2 linked regions of the Elephas maximus indicus genome follow. The main gene of each other region encodes a partner of the protein of the gene in region 2 in a complex. Links are inferred from orthologs where the notes say so. Each region holds a gene or a part of one and is shown on either strand. Other genes may lie near its edges.

The links.
Region 1: the proteins of YWHAZ (region 2) and CRTC1 are in contact, whole or in part, in a crystal structure (PDB 7D8P), measured with the Homo sapiens proteins. The link is inferred for Elephas maximus indicus from reciprocal best matches to the Homo sapiens genes YWHAZ and CRTC1. Residues at the interface, in NP_001129171.1 of Homo sapiens: Asn42, Val46, Lys49, Arg56, Arg60, Lys120, Arg127, Tyr128, Glu131, Gly169, Leu172, Asn173, Val176, Tyr179, Glu180, Leu216, Ile217, Leu220, Asn224, Leu227, Trp228; in NP_056136.2 of Homo sapiens: Arg147, Arg148, Thr149, Asn150, Ser151, Asp152, Ser153, Ala154, Leu155, His156.

The regions. Positions count from the first base shown.
Region 1 is NC_064821.1:38,589,906-38,597,301, forward strand, and holds the start of CRTC1 (CREB-regulated transcription coactivator 1), read left to right. Parts: upstream 1-4,388; 5' UTR 4,389-4,400; coding exon 4,401-4,526; intron 4,527-7,396. UniProt on the Homo sapiens protein: Transcriptional coactivator for CREB1 which activates transcription through both consensus and variant cAMP response element (CRE) sites.
Region 2 is NC_064833.1:41,043,957-41,051,538, reverse strand, and holds the start of YWHAZ (14-3-3 protein zeta/delta), read right to left. Parts: upstream 3,006-7,582; 5' UTR 2,822-3,005; intron 2,763-2,821; exon of another isoform or gene 2,489-2,762; intron 1-2,488.

The DNA of each region.
Region 1 (7,396 bases), on a different chromosome or scaffold from region 2:
CCTTTCACTGCATCTTTAAACCCAGCTCTTGCAAAGTGTCTGATGAGGGCCTGGCTTGGCCATCAGAGATGAACCCTGTCAGCATTCCTCTGTGCTTTCCTGCTCCGATGGCCCTAACTCACCTCTGGATTGACGAAGATCCCATATAAGGAAGCGCAGAAAAGCAAAGCATGAAAATTAGCATTGCGACGTTTGCTTCTCTAACAGTTACCGAATGCTTTTAAGAAGTGGGCAATGTGCTAAGTGCTTTGCCCACATTATCTGTTTAATCTTCCTAAGGGCCTGCTATGAGCAGAGCCAGTGTCCATATTTAACAGGGAGGGTAGATTGCATTTAGAGGTTTCAAGTCAAAGAGTACCATGGCCTGGATACAGGGGAAAGGACATTTCAACCTGTGCAAAGGCTCTGAAGCAGGGCCCAGCAAGGCTGGGTGGAGGATATGAGAAAGGGAAGGCGAGGAGGTGAAGCCAGCAAGGAGGAAAAGGGCCAGTTGGAGCTGTGAGGCAGAGGAGAGAAAACGATCCTATAGGCTTGGATGTGTGCTGTGTGACTGAAGTGAAGCTATTCAACAATCAGACACTCCCAGCCCTATGGGGTCAGGGCTGGCAGGAGAGGAACCCAGGGCTGTGTGAGCCAAGAGTAAGGAATGAAACTCTGCTTGGAGGTCAGGAAAAGCTTTCTGGAGGAGGGAATATTTGAGGTGGGCTTTGAGGGATGAGTAGGAGTTTCTCAGGCAGAAAATGAGTTCAGTCAACAAATACTTCCAGATGCCCCCTCTGTGCCTAGTCTTGTGTTGGCTCTGGGGACCCAAGGAAACAGAATAAACTCAGAGAAGTATACAAAGGAGTTTAAAAAAAAGGGGGGTGGATTTTAAAGTGCCCAAAGCTCTTGGTATGGAGAACAAGCCTTAAGAGAAGGGGACTTTATGTATCTGTGTCCTTTCCCCATCACACAGGAAGCTCTTGAAGGGAAGATCCTGGCCGAGCAAACATACTTTCTACTCCTGACCTCAGGTCACTAGCGGGGAACAGACAGGATCCTGGAAACAGCTTCCTTCAGAGAGCAGGGCGTTCCTGGGTTATAGGACACACAAACACAGGGGAGCCACTTCAGACAGGGACCTCGGGGAGGGTCTCAGTGGAGGAAGGGCCTGAAAGATGAGAAGGTGCCAGATACCAGAGGATCTGAGGGGAGAGCAGGCCAAACACAGGAACAGCACATGCAAAGGTCCTGAGGTGGGACAGCCGGAATGGGGGCCACAGGCTGCATGAGCTGCCAGGAGGGGAGAGAATGTTTTACTAAATTCAGTGGGAAGTATGGTATCCATCCTGGTTTACAGAGACCCCTGGTCTGCTGCAGGGAGCAGCCCTGAAGCCCTCCCCATCCCCAGGCCAGCACTCTGGCTGCAGCAGCTTTCTGAGATGGAGGAAGACAGTGAGCACGATGGGGCTGGGTTCTTCCTGAGTTGCCAGCCGCTGCTTCCTTGGGGTCAGTGGAGTGGGGAGGAGGGCTTGGGCCACATTCAGGCCATTGTGCAATAAGCAAGGCTGGCCACTTCCTCTGACTCATCACAGGGGCTTAGGACAGATTGAGTTACCACCGGGTGTGGGGTGAGCGGGGTGAGTTGAGCTGGCCTGGCCCCTTACTTCTGCCCAAACAGGTGTGCCGCCTCCCAGCACCTTACTGTGCCCTGACACCACCTCCTTCTCCCTCCAAATCTTTTTTCCTCAATCTCTCTGTGCCTGGGAAGCAGCTTAATCTGTGAGTGATCAGGGTAACCAGCATTGTCAAGCACTTACTCTGAGCCAGGCACTTGATATACATTGAAAAACAAAACAGTTGCCGTCAAGTCAGTCCTGACTCATGGCGACCCCATGTGTGTCAGAGCAGAACTGTGCTCCACGGGGTTTTCAGTGGCTAATTTTTCGGAAGTAGACTGCCAGCTCTTTCTTCCATGGCACCTCTGGGTGGACTTGAACCTCCAACCTTTCGGTTAGCAGCAAGTGCATTCACCGTTTGCACTACCCGGGGATACCTGACACACATTAACTGCATTTAAACCTTAAAAAAAACAGCTCAGAGAAGGAAGCTGAGCTCTGCCATGAGATAGGCCTGAGTTCCAGTCTTGGCTCCAGGGCTTGCCTTGCTATGGCCAGCTGCCTTTCTTGCTTTCTATTTCCTGACCTCACAGGATGGTGGAAAGAACTGGAAGGCATATATGCAGAGTGCCCAGCCCTGATCCCTTGGAGCTTTGGTCTTAATCAGTGCCAGGGGCAGAAAATGGAATTCAAATAGACTCAGGCGAAAGAAGGAATAAATTATTGGATCATATAACTGAAAAGATATGATGCTGGCCTCAGGTGTAGCTGGATCCAGGCACTCAGAAGATATGTCTCTCTACCTTTCTGTTTTCCTGTGTGAGTTCCCTCTCTTGGGCCAGTTTCTTCCATTTGGCAACCTCTGTCACTGCAGACCTGTGTTATCCTTAAACCAGTAGCCCACACAAAGGAGTTTCTCCTTCCCATGGCTCCAGCAAAAATCCCAGGATTGCATCTCATTGGACAAACTGGGTCACATGCCCACCCTGAACCAAATGTGGTGGCCAGAGAAATGGGGTCTGCTGACTGCCCAAGGCTTCCACTTTGGGGTGAGGTGTTTGTGGGGAGAGAGGGAAGTGAGGCCAGCCCCATCCACATGTCATGGGCTGAAAGTTGGAAACCGTTCTCTGGAGGACAGCTGGGTGGTGACATCAAAATGCCATCTTGAGCAGATGCTTGTTAGGCAAAAAAGACAAGTTTGCAAAAGTGCTCAAAACAATATAAACAAGAAAAAATCAGGGCAGTGGTGGTGCCCAAAACATTCTAAATATATGTGTGTATGTATTTTAGCATGGACAATTGACATTTGATTAAACTGCTGTAAAGCCAAAGAAAGCATCTTTGGAAAATGATGGGGTCCCCTTTGATCTCCCTCAGTGCTCCCTCCAGCCACCCCTTGGTTTAGTAAAAAGTGTGCTTGCTGTGTGATGACAGCTGCCCCAAATTTCCCGCTGCACTGCCCTCCCTGCTTCAGGCTGCCCTTTCCCCCACCCCTCACCCCCAGTTCTGGCACTTCAATATAAACCTTCTGATATTGGCAATCACAGTCCTGCTTGGGGCGATAGATCGATGTCAAAGCACCCTCACAATGGGGAGACCCTACTTCCCCTTTTTAACTGGGATTTCTGGACTTTCCTTTAGCACCCTAAGTAAAGCTGGGGTCTCCGAACAGGACAGGACTGGCAAAATTCACACAGAAGAGCCTCAAGTGCTGTAATTTCTATTCTTTAGGTCCCTGGGTGGCATAAACAGTTTGTGGTCGACTACTAACTGAAACGTTGGCGATTTGAACCCACCCACTACAAGCCGTGGAAGAAAGGCCTGGTGATATGCTTCGTAAAGATTACAGCCAAGAAAACCCTATGGAGCAGTTCTACTCTGTAACAGATGGGGTAGCCAAGAGTTGGGATCAACTGGACAGCAATGGGTTTTGGGTTTAAGGATCTGGGGGGATAAAGAGAACCAGTCAAATGTCAGGGAATAGGGAAAGAAAGGTGTGGAAGACAACTCTCGGGTTTATGGGCTGGACTCTGCTTGCAAGGGTCAGGCCTCAGCTCAAATGTGCCCCCTCCCCTGACCATGGTGGCTGAGGGAGCACCCCTCCCTCCCTCCCTCCACCTCGCTCCAGCCCATCATGGTTTTTATTTTCCACATTACACCATCGCCATCTGAAATGTTCTTGGTGCTGCTTATGGGTTGTGTGCGTCCAACCTCCACGAACTCTGCACCCCATGGGGGCGGGGACCGCATCTGCTTGTTCATTTCTGTACCTTGGTTTGCCAGTTTGTAGTAGACACTCAACAAATACTCGTTGAATGAATGAATGCTCTAGTCTCAAAGCTAGGGGTCCAAGTCCGGCCCTTGGGGGGTGCCTGGCTCCCCCTTGCAAAGGGTCCCGGCCGGCTGTCTCACTCTTGGGGGCTCCAGCGCCCCAGCCCATCCGGACCTCGTCCAATGAACGGCCAGGTGGCCGCTGTCCAGCGAGCCAGGCGGTGGCTCACCGCGCTTGCGCAAAAATCTTATTCGCTCCTCCACCTCCGCCCCCCGCCAGCCCTCCGCGCCGCTGCTTCGCCTGAGAGAGCCTCCGGTACGCGCGCATGCGTCCTCGCCTCCACGCCGCGCGCCGTTCCCGTGCGCCTGCGCCACGCTCCCGGCCGCCGGCGCGTCTGCGCACTGCCCTCCGCCCGCGGGCCCGGCCAGCGCTTGCGCGGTGGCTCGGGCGAGTGGGGGGCAAGGAGGAGGAGGAGTGGAGGAGGAGGAGGAGGAGGAGGAGGAGGAGGAGGAGGAGGTGGCGGCGAGAAGATGGCGACTTCGAACAATCCACGGAAATTCAGCGAGAAGATCGCGCTGCACAACCAGAAGCAGGCGGAGGAGACGGCGGCCTTCGAGGAGGTCATGAAGGATCTGAGCCTGACGCGGGCCGCGCGGGTAAGGGGCTGCCGCGGCCCAGCACTGGCCGGGAGGGGGCGGCTAGGGGCGGGGGCGCTGGCCGGGCGGCTAGGGGCGGGGGGCGCGGGGGGCGGGGCGGAGGCGGAGTGTGCGTGGCCTGGGGACAGGTGTCCCCACCCTCCGGACGTCGTGGGCGGGACAGGGGCCCCGCATCATTGATACCTGGAAGGGACAGGTGCCCCACATCCTTTCTACCTGGAGGGGACAGGGACCTCTACATCATTGCTACCTGGAGGGGACAGGTGCTCCTGCATCATTACTACCTGGAGGGGACAGGTGTACCCATATCGTTGCTACCTGGAGGGGACAGGAGACACCACATCATTGCTACCTGGAGGGAATAGTGCCCTCTCCATAATTGTTACTTGGAGAGGACAGGTGCTCAGGTGCCCACATCTCATTGCTATCTGGAGGGGACAGGTGTACCTAGATCATTAGTACCTGGAGGGAACAGGTGTCCTCGCATCATTGTTACCTGCAGGGGACAGGTGCCCCCAGCCTGCATTGCTTCCTGGAGAGGGCAGGTGCCTCTTCATCGTTGCTACCTGGAGGGGATGGGGCCTTTACATCATTGTTATCTGGGGGAACAGAGGTCTCTACATTGTTGTTAGCTGGAGGGGACAGATGTCTCTGCATCATTCCTACCTGGAGGGGACAGGTGCTCCCACATCATTGCTACCTGAGGGGGACGTTTCTCCCACATCTTTGTTACCTTGGTGGGATGGAAAAAAAAAATCAAACCTGCTGCCATCAAGTCGATTCCGACTCATAGCGCCCCCTTAGGACAGAGTAGAACTGCCCAATAGAGTTTCCAAGGAGCACCTTGTGGATTTGAACTGCTGACCTTTTGGTTAGCAGCGGTAGCACTCAACCACTACACCATCAGGGTTTCTCTTGGCAGGACAGGCACCCCAAAATCATTGTTACTCGAGGGGGGGAACAGGTGCCTGTATATCATTGCTACCTGAGAGAGGCAGGTGCCTGCACGTAACTGCTACCTGAAGGTGACAGGTGCTCCCAAATTATTGTTACTTGGGATAGGGACAGATACCCCCACATCATTACATGTGGGGACAGGTGCTCCCACATCATTGCTATCTGAGGAGAACATTGTCCCCATATGATTGTTACCTGGGGGGACCAAACTGAAGAAACCCACTGCCGTTGAGTCAATTCTGGCTCATAGTGACCTTACATGACAGAGTAGAAATGTCCCATAGGGTTTCCAAAGCTGTAAATCTTCACAGAACCAGACTGCCACATCTTTCTCCCATTGCTTTGGAGAGGGGACAAGTTCCCCAAATCATTGTTATGTGAGGGAGACAGGTGCCCTTACATCACTGTTACCTGTACTCCTGGGTGCTGGAGGAGCGACAGATGCCTCTCTTGGGGACCTGGGTGGGATAGGTATCTCTCTCAGACACCTGAGAGAAGGGTCAGGTGCTCTCCCCCATGGTGACCTGGGGGTTGGGAAGGCAGGTTGTGGTCAGTCCTGGAGCTTAAAGTGGGGATAGCCACCCTTCATGCATCCCATGTAGTAGGGCCAGGTGATGTTTCCCCCACTGGGACAGGGTCAGGTAGGACCAGGGCGGAGGGACAGCCTGAAGGGGCATCCCAGGTTCTGCCAGGGGCTGGGCTGGGGTTGGGCGCCTTGCTATTGTCCTGGGCTGCTGCTCTTTGCCCACACAACCACAGTGAGGTTCCCAAGCTCCTCTTGCCTCAGTTTCCGCCTTTGTTAGTTGTGGGCCAAGGAGGTAAACTGCTTTGCCCGGATGGCAGTGACCTCAGCCACAACTCCTGCAGAACGGTGGGACCCCTGGCCTGCGCAAGAGGCCTCAGGGAGGGGTTGGGGGAACTTGCTGAGACCACCTCCCTGGGTCCGAGCAGATACAGTCGGGGTGGACCGACCCTATGTGCAGCTCCAGCTCCTTGGTGGAACTTTCTGTCTATGTGGTTTTATAATAGGTTGCTGTTTTTCACTGGGTAGTGACCTTATATACTTGGATACGTGTCTTCATTTTTATGCATTTGTTCATCACCTATCTGCAACTGCTGCTTGGTGGACACGGCACATCGATTTGGCTCAAGCGCCTCATGCGTGTGATCAGGATGTAGAGGAGGAGGTGGTTGGTGAATGAGTGCATGCATGAATGAGTGAAAGTGTGCAGCATAAATGTCCCCTGAAAGACAGGGCTTCGAAGGCAGGGGTGGTGGCTTCATCTTATCTGCCCTGCTGGCATGCAGTAGGTGCCTAATATTTGTAGCGTGACAAGAGGTCACACTACATGGCTGTGGTCAGGGATGAGGTCAGATTTCTGCCTTGGAATTGAAGATAGATTATTGTTTTAGAAAAGATTGTTTTTTAAATAACAGGTTTATCGAAGTATATTTCACATACCATACAATCCACCCATTTAAAGTCTACAACTTAGTAGTGTTTAGTGTACTCAGACTTGTGCGGCCATCACCACTGCCTAATTCCTTAACATCCAGCAAGAGATCCCGTCCCCATTAGCAGCCACTCCCCACTTTCCCTCCTCTCAGCCTCAGGCAACCACGAATCCACTTTTTGTCTCTGGATTTTTCTGTTCTGGGCTTTTCATATAAATGGAAACACACAGTATGTGGTGTTTTGTGACTGGCTTCTTGCGTTCAACATGATGTCTTCTAGGTTCTTCTGTGTTGTAGCATGTGTCAGGGCTTCATTCCTTTTTATGGCTGAGTAATATTTCATTGTATGGATGGACTACATTGTGTTTATCCGTTTGATTGTTGTTGCAAGTAGAAAAGATTTTCAAAATACCCAGCTGGCGGTTCTCTTAGCCGTGGCGCCCACTTCCCGTCTCCTT
Region 2 (7,582 bases):
ATCATGATTCATGTTAAATTAATGTAATTCAGCTCATTTTACTCTCGTAACAGCGGGTTCTTATCGGGAGCATTTAATCTTAAATTTTAGTTGATATCATTCCCACCCCAATTCTACTGGATCTTTCCAACATTTGCCAGCTGATCAGAGCATGACAATTTTATGGGACAAATGACCAAATCGCTAGTTCTAAGATATTTTGAATGTAAAACATAACCAAGAATCAATACCTAACGGACCCTAAGGCCTCATGCACCCATACCTTGTTTATACACACATATTTATATAATAAACATACCCATAGTGGAGTCCTAGAACTTCAACTCTTACTCACCCAGGAGCACTAAAATTCCACATTGGAAGCACTTAATATCTCCAAGTGTTTCCAATGTCACTGTCCCAGTTTAAACATGAAACTATTCCAGTTTCTAGCAGTCACGATTTAATTGAATGTTACCACTCAAGCTGCCCTTTTCCATGACTTCACATGTCTTTCCCTCATTGTAGAGCTCCCTAGACTTTTCATTTTACCTCCTCTACACTTTTCCTTAATGACATCTTTTTGAAAGGGGCTAAAAGCACATAAAGATACTAAACCATGCAATGATCCCACAGGATAAACAATTTTAAGGAAAAACTTATAGCCTAAGGAGCACTACTAAAAGGTGAACATTAGAGCCACTGTCACCATGGGAACTAAAAAAAAAACCAAACCAAACCCAGTGCGGACGAGTCGATTCCGACACATAACGACCCTACAGGACAGAGCAGAACTGCCCCATAGTTTCCAAGAAGCGCCTGGTGGATTTGAACTGCTGACCCTTTAGTTCGCAGCCGTAGCACTTTACTACACCACCAGGGTTTCCCCATGGGACCTAAACCTCCAATATGATATCCTTTACCTTCCCAGGGAAATCCCGCAACTATTTCCCCCACAAATCACAATAAACCAACCAAAACCAAGCCCACTGCTGTAGAGTCGATTCTGACTCATAGGTCCCCGGTATTTAAACAAGTAATCAGGTAGCGTGGATATGTGATATACTGTCTCAGTGTGTAAACTACTTAAATATTGTGATCGAGTAATCCTCCCATCAGTTCTCGAAATTATTTTCTCTCCTAGGAACTCAGAAACACTCATCGGCTAATGCTGTTCCTCCCCCAAAATCATTTAAAACCAGTACAAAGGTTTTTCTTCCCAACTCTCCAGTACAAGGGGAAGCGGATTAGACTTCTCACAGCATAGTGCTCAAAAAGGCCTCGCCTCTATATTGCGGAGGACTCGCCGCACCCATTTAACCCTTAACCGACTTTGGATGTCGTGTTTGGTAATAGAAAACGGCAGAGAGTGATTTTGAACTGTAAATCCTTCCATCCAGGCTATCCGCAGCCCACTCTCCTTGGCCCCACCCAAGCTTGTGCCTTCGCACAAGTCCCCGACTCTCCCTCTTTGTCATGGCGGATCTGTGTCAAGGAGCCCAACCTACCGCAGAGTGTTAACCACCCCCCCCCACCGCGCCCTCCGAGCAAGAGGGAGGAGCAGCCGGCGCCCCGCCCCGTGCTGGGGGGACCGCCCGCCCGCCCGGGGGCCGGGACGCCAGCGCCGCCCGCAGAAGCGGAACCACTACCAGTCTGGCCGCGGACACACCCCACTCTCCCACCCGGCATCTCTTCCGCCACCGGATACCGCTGGTGCCCATTTAGAGAGTCTGAGGTCCCGACAGCTGCAGCAGGTGGGGGAGGGGGAGAGCCACACCCAGCAGAGCTGGCCCACCACCGGCTGTTAAGCTCGGGCACACCCGCCGCAGAAAGCAGGATATCTGTCCAAAACCGAAGGCAAGGCCTCTCCAGTTCTAGTCCACCCGGTGGCAGATCGAGACACCGACCCACTGTCTTCCCCATCCCCTCCCGACCTGATCTCCCGGTCCCCCTCAGCGCCTCCGCCGCCCATTCACATGTAGGAAAAAAAGGCCACCTTCATCCCCCACCCAAACCGGGTACACTGAAGTCCCTCCTCCCACCGCTGAACCCAGGAAATTCAGCTCCAGGTCCCAGGCGAGCCCCACCCCAAACCTTCCTTCCCGTGCTCTGCTCACCCACGGCCCCCGAAGCGCCACCTCCCCCAGGCCTAGCTGGCTGACAGCTCCGGGCAGGGCCCCTCTCCCTCCCCGCTGCGCCCCCGGCCGCTCCCCGCCGCGCCGCCGCCGCCCGGGGTGGGGGAGGGCCGGCCCCGCCGCAGCAGCGCGGAGCGCGGAGGCTGCGCCGAGGAGAAGGGAGGGAGGGAGGGAGAGGAAGGGGGAGGGGAGCGCGGGCGGCGGGCGGCAAGCGGGGAGCGGGGAGGGGGCGGCCTCACCTGCGCCACTGCAATGCCCGCAGCCACCTCGGGCGGAAGCGAGGAATGGGGCACCGAAGGAGGGGGGCTGAGGGGTCACGGGGGCGAGGGCAGGGGACGGATGGGGCCCGGGTGCCTCGGCGATAAGTCGCTCACCCGAGGACCCGGCGGCCGGGTGAATCCCCGGGGATCTCGCGTGTGGGCGCGTTTTCTACCCCCACAGACTGGGAACGAGGGAGAACCAGCGCTTATCCGGGCCGAGTAACTGATCCGGAAGCAAGCAGCCGGAGGCAGCCGCGAACCGCCTGCCCGAGACCAGCGGAAGAGAAGCCGCCGCCCGTCTCCGCCTGAGGAGACTCCGCCTCAGCGCCGCTACGGCGGGGCAAGCCGGGGTGAGGAGATGTGGAGCAGGGAAAGCTCCCACGTTTTCGGAAGGCTGGTCTGCGACAAAAAAGAATGGAGCGAGGCAGCGGCAGTCGGGCCCCTTACCTGTGTCCGGAGTGGGTGGCGGCGGACGGACGGGGGCTCAGCAGTCTCTGGGCGGCGGCAGCGGCAAGGCTGAGACTCTGTCCCTGGATCTCGCTGCTCACAGGCTACAGCGCTCCGCAGACACGGGGTTTCCTCCAATCACCGGCCCCGGCAGCAGGGGCACCACACGTACGATGACGTCAAACGCTGCTATGGCAACCGTTGATTGGTGCCTACAGCTCTGGGGGCCCAGCGCAACCGCCGCTCCCTAGCGCGCGCTCCCTGCCCGCCCGCGCTAGAGGGCGAGCGAGGAGGAGCGTGCGTCTTCTCCCTCTACCCACACTCCTCCCCACTCCGCTCAGCTTCCAACTTCTCCACTCTTGTCCGGGGCAGGAAACTTTTTTTTTTTCCAACACTACCCCCTACCTCGCTTTCACCTCGGATCCCCGACACTCTCTTTATCTCCCTTCAACCTCCGGCTCACTTTTCCTCTCAATTCAAAAAAAAAAACCTCTCAACTAGAGGGAAGGAAATCTCTCCCCACCCCCACCTTAGCTATTCGTTCGGTCCTCCTGCGCCTGCGCCAGTCACTCCTTCCAGAAAGGGCTCCGGTTCAGCAACATCCGGGACCTTTCACGTTTCCCCCCCACCCGTCTCCCGCTGCCTGCCTGCCCGCCCCGCCCCCCGTGCTTCGCGGTGGTAACTGCTCCTGGCTGTCCCGGGACTGAATTACGAGAGTGGCTCCGCAGCTCTGGCATTATGATCGGGATGGTGGGGCAGGGCGCGGCCAGGTGGTCAGGGAGAGGGGGCGTTGCGAGCTCCCTCCCCCACCTCCACTCCTGGCCGTTCCCCAGCGCTAGGCGAGGCCGACCTGGGCGCGCGGCCCCTCCCTTCCGCCTCGCGGGTTTACCTGCTGGCTCGGGGAAAAAAACGGCCTTAGCCCTTTTAAGGCTAGGGAAAGACTGAGGTGTCCGGCCCCCGAGTGTGGGCTGAGTGACGGGGAAGTTTTCCAATCGGGAGCCCCGGATCCGCGCGCAAAGACAGCCGCGAGGGGACAATGGGTGGGCGCCGACGTGGGGGTGAGGTGGGCCGGGCGGAGCTAGAGGGAGGTGAGGCCTGGAAAGAGACGCTGCGGCTTCCAAAAAGCCTACAGTTCCCGAGGGGAAAAGACAGTCTTAGATGGGGGGCTTGAGGCGATCCCGAAAGCCTTAAAATGAAGGCGGCAAAGAAGCAGAGTTTTGAACACACTGGTTCGTTTCTCACAGGTTAGATTTTTCTATCCCAATAAAGCTTTTACTTGAAGACCTCATACTGCAGTGATTTAAAACGAAAATCATTACCTTTTATTCTACTGAAAGCAAGTATTGAGGGTTGTAGTAGTTCCCAGAGTCCCCTGTTGACCCGGCTGATGGTAGAAGCTGGCCGCAGGCAAGGTGAGCGGGAACCAGGAGCCCAGAAGACTGGGGGAAGGAAGGGTGACCAGTGGCGGAAATTGCAGGTGCCTCACAAGCGTGCCAACCTAAAACGGTAGGGCCTCTGCCAAGACAATTTAAGGAAGTTCAAAGAGATAACGAGTTTATAACCAAATGTCTCTGTCCCCACTACCTTCAAATTTGTTAAAAGAATAGTCCTGGAATGACCTGCAAAAACCACTTGCAAAAGTAACATAGCAGTGAGAACCGGGAACTCTTCCTACTACCCTGGCCTCTTGATTCTTCATCTCCGTGTTGGCCTCTTGATTTCTGAACATATCTTTATTTTCAGCATAACGCATTTTTCGTAGCATCTTTACTGAACAGCTACTAGGGCCCTGCCCTGGGTACAGGTGGCAAAAGAGCCTGATGAGCTAGCACAGCCTCTTTACTGTTCAGTAGAGTACTAGATTTCTCAGCAGCAGATGCACGATATGATTCCTGTCCCTACCAGCACCTTGTCTTCTATGTGATGAGTACAGTGGATAGACTGTTCTACAAATACGTTTCACCTGAAGTCACAACTGGCGTTTGGATAATACAGGTAGTTCCCGATTTAAGGCTATTGCAGTTAAGACAAACTAGGCTTAACCACTGTACCCCCGCCCCTTTCTTTTGTACATTTTATGGTTGGTAATATTTTTTTTAACATGTACTACGGAAACCCTGGTGGCATAGTGGTTAAGTGCTACGGCTGCTAACCAAAGGATCGGCAGTTTGAATTCGCCAGGTGCTCCTTGGAAACTATGGGGCAGTTCTACCCTGGCCTATAGGGTCGCTATGAGTCGGAATCGACTCCACCGCACTGGGTTTGGTTTTTTGGGTTAGCGTTTACTACACACAGTGTTGCAGCACTTAATCTGTTGATACTATATCTGTAAATTTATCTGTAATGTTTCCAATCCCCAAAGACAAAGATCAGATTTATAAAGATACTAATAATAAAAGGCAATAATATTGAAAACTAAAAAGAAAATGAGGTATTCGACTTATGTCAGGACTGACTTACCCTGGAGTCCTGGGAACAGAACCCTGTGGTAAGTCGGGACTACTTGTAACTAGTACACTGGGAAGAGTTTCCAGTGACCAGTTTAATTTCAGTGTTTTTTATTTTCTCCAAGTTTCAGCAGAGATTCATAGTAGGCTGAATGGATGAGCAAATGGATTGGGTTTTATTTCTGAGATGTTAAGTTTACCATTCTTTGACTCCCAAGTAAATTCTTTTAGGCAGTGACTCACTTAAAATGACTAATATATTAAAAGCTAATTTTTAAAAAGTTGCTTAAGTTCTGTGCTAGGCACCAGAAATTTGAGAGGACATTAAAAATAAATCTTTTTAAAAAAGGAAAATTGACATTTCTTTATGTCTCAAATACATGCCTATATAGAATATATGCCTTTTTAGAGGAAGCAAAAATTTCTCTGCATAAGTAAATTGTGAATTTACTTTAGGAAACAGATAAGTTAGGTTTTTGTCTCATGCTTTAAGTAGCAAAACATTTTTTAGTGAAATAGGAACTGTTAGGTTTTTACATACTCAGCATGTTTGTGGAATAAGGGTGTAAGGAGACTGCAGAAAAGCAAAAGTAGAAAATGTCATGAAAACCCCAGGTGAAAAGTATTTTGAGGAATAAGGAATAACCTATGACAGTGATAAACAGAGGAGCAGAATAAGTAGAACCTATGACTTGAACTCTGAGAAAATTACTGAAGACTTTCACCAGTAGCCTGACCTGTTTTAGTTTCTTCCCTTCTCAACTTTGTTACCTCAGGCAAGTTGCTTAACCTCTCCATGCCTCAATTTCCACATCAATAAAATACTGGTAATAAGTATTTACCTGGTTAGGTGGTGCTGAGGATCAAATAGTAATATACATAAAGTGCTTAGCAAGATTCCTAACACAAAGCATTCAATAACTTGGTTATCATTTATTTGTAAATGGTTATATCTGATGTCTCTACCATTCAAAGGATTGTGAAGATAAGGTCAGCGGTTTGAAACCACCAGCGGCTCTGCAGGAGACACATGTGGCAGTCTGCTTCCGTAGAGATTTACAGCCTCGGAAACCCTATGGGGTGGCTATGAGTCGAAACCGACTCAATGGCAGTGGGTTTGGTTTTTCTTGGTTTTATATATTTAACCCCCATGTGTCTGTCAGTTTTTCATACGGTGGGGGGGCTCTTGTGTTGCTGTGGTGCTGAAAGCTATGCCACTGGTATCCTGTGGATACGCATATCCTCTGCTTACCCTTCCTCCCAATCAAGTGATTATCCTGATTACTGAGAAGAAAATGTATCAATATCACATAATGGAGGTAAAGAAGAGTATGTCTGGAATGCAGGAGATTCCTTAGGGTGTCTCAGTACTATCATGCCCTGTGATTAAAGTCAATGGAAAACTACAGCAACCCAATTCTGACATGACTACTAATGGCCCAGACCCTTCCGGAATGAAGGTTTGGGTCACCCCACCAGGCAAAAAACCATGACCAGCTGACGTGCTTGCTGAGGGCAAAGGGAATATGGAATGGGTGGTGAAGAAGGTAGTTCTAAATACCAGTTATGGCCATATAACCGGTTGCAGAAACAAGGATTGTAATTGTTATGAGTATTTCTCCATTGTATGTGTGCATCAAATATTTTTGTTTTCTTCAATTATAAAATATAAGATGTAAACAGGGCTAGTGCATTTTCAGTTGTATGCGTGTTAGTTGTATCACGTTAGGCACAAGTATAACTTTGTAATTGTCTTTATTCAGAGAATATGTATGGTTTGTGGAGACGTGTACAGGTGCCAAGTTGACAAGGGGTGGACTGTCGTGGTTAAGATTGTGTGTCAACTTGGCTGGGCCATGATTCTCAGTGTTTATATGTGGTCACCCCATAATGGGATCTGCTGTGAGTAGCCAGTCAGCTGAAAGGGAGTTTCCTTGGGCATGTAGCCTGCGTCCAAATATAAGTGGACGTTCTGGCTTTTGCCCTCTCTGGATCCTGCAGCTGCCTCCAGCTCTTGGGACTTGAGGTAGCAGCTTATTTGCTGATCTTGGCATTTGCAGATCCTCATAGCCTATGAGCAGGAGTCCTGCTCTCCCACCTGCTAATCTTGGGTTCGCCAGCCCCTGTGGCTATGTGAATCAGGAAAAGCCTCTATCCTAATCCACAAACTTGGGACATTCCAGCCTCTACAATAGTCATGTGAGCTGTTTCCTTGATGTAAATCTTTCTCTCTTGCTATATATATGCTTTACTGGTTTTGCTTCTCCAGAGAACCCAGCCTAAGACATATTACATAGTAATATTTAACAAGTAC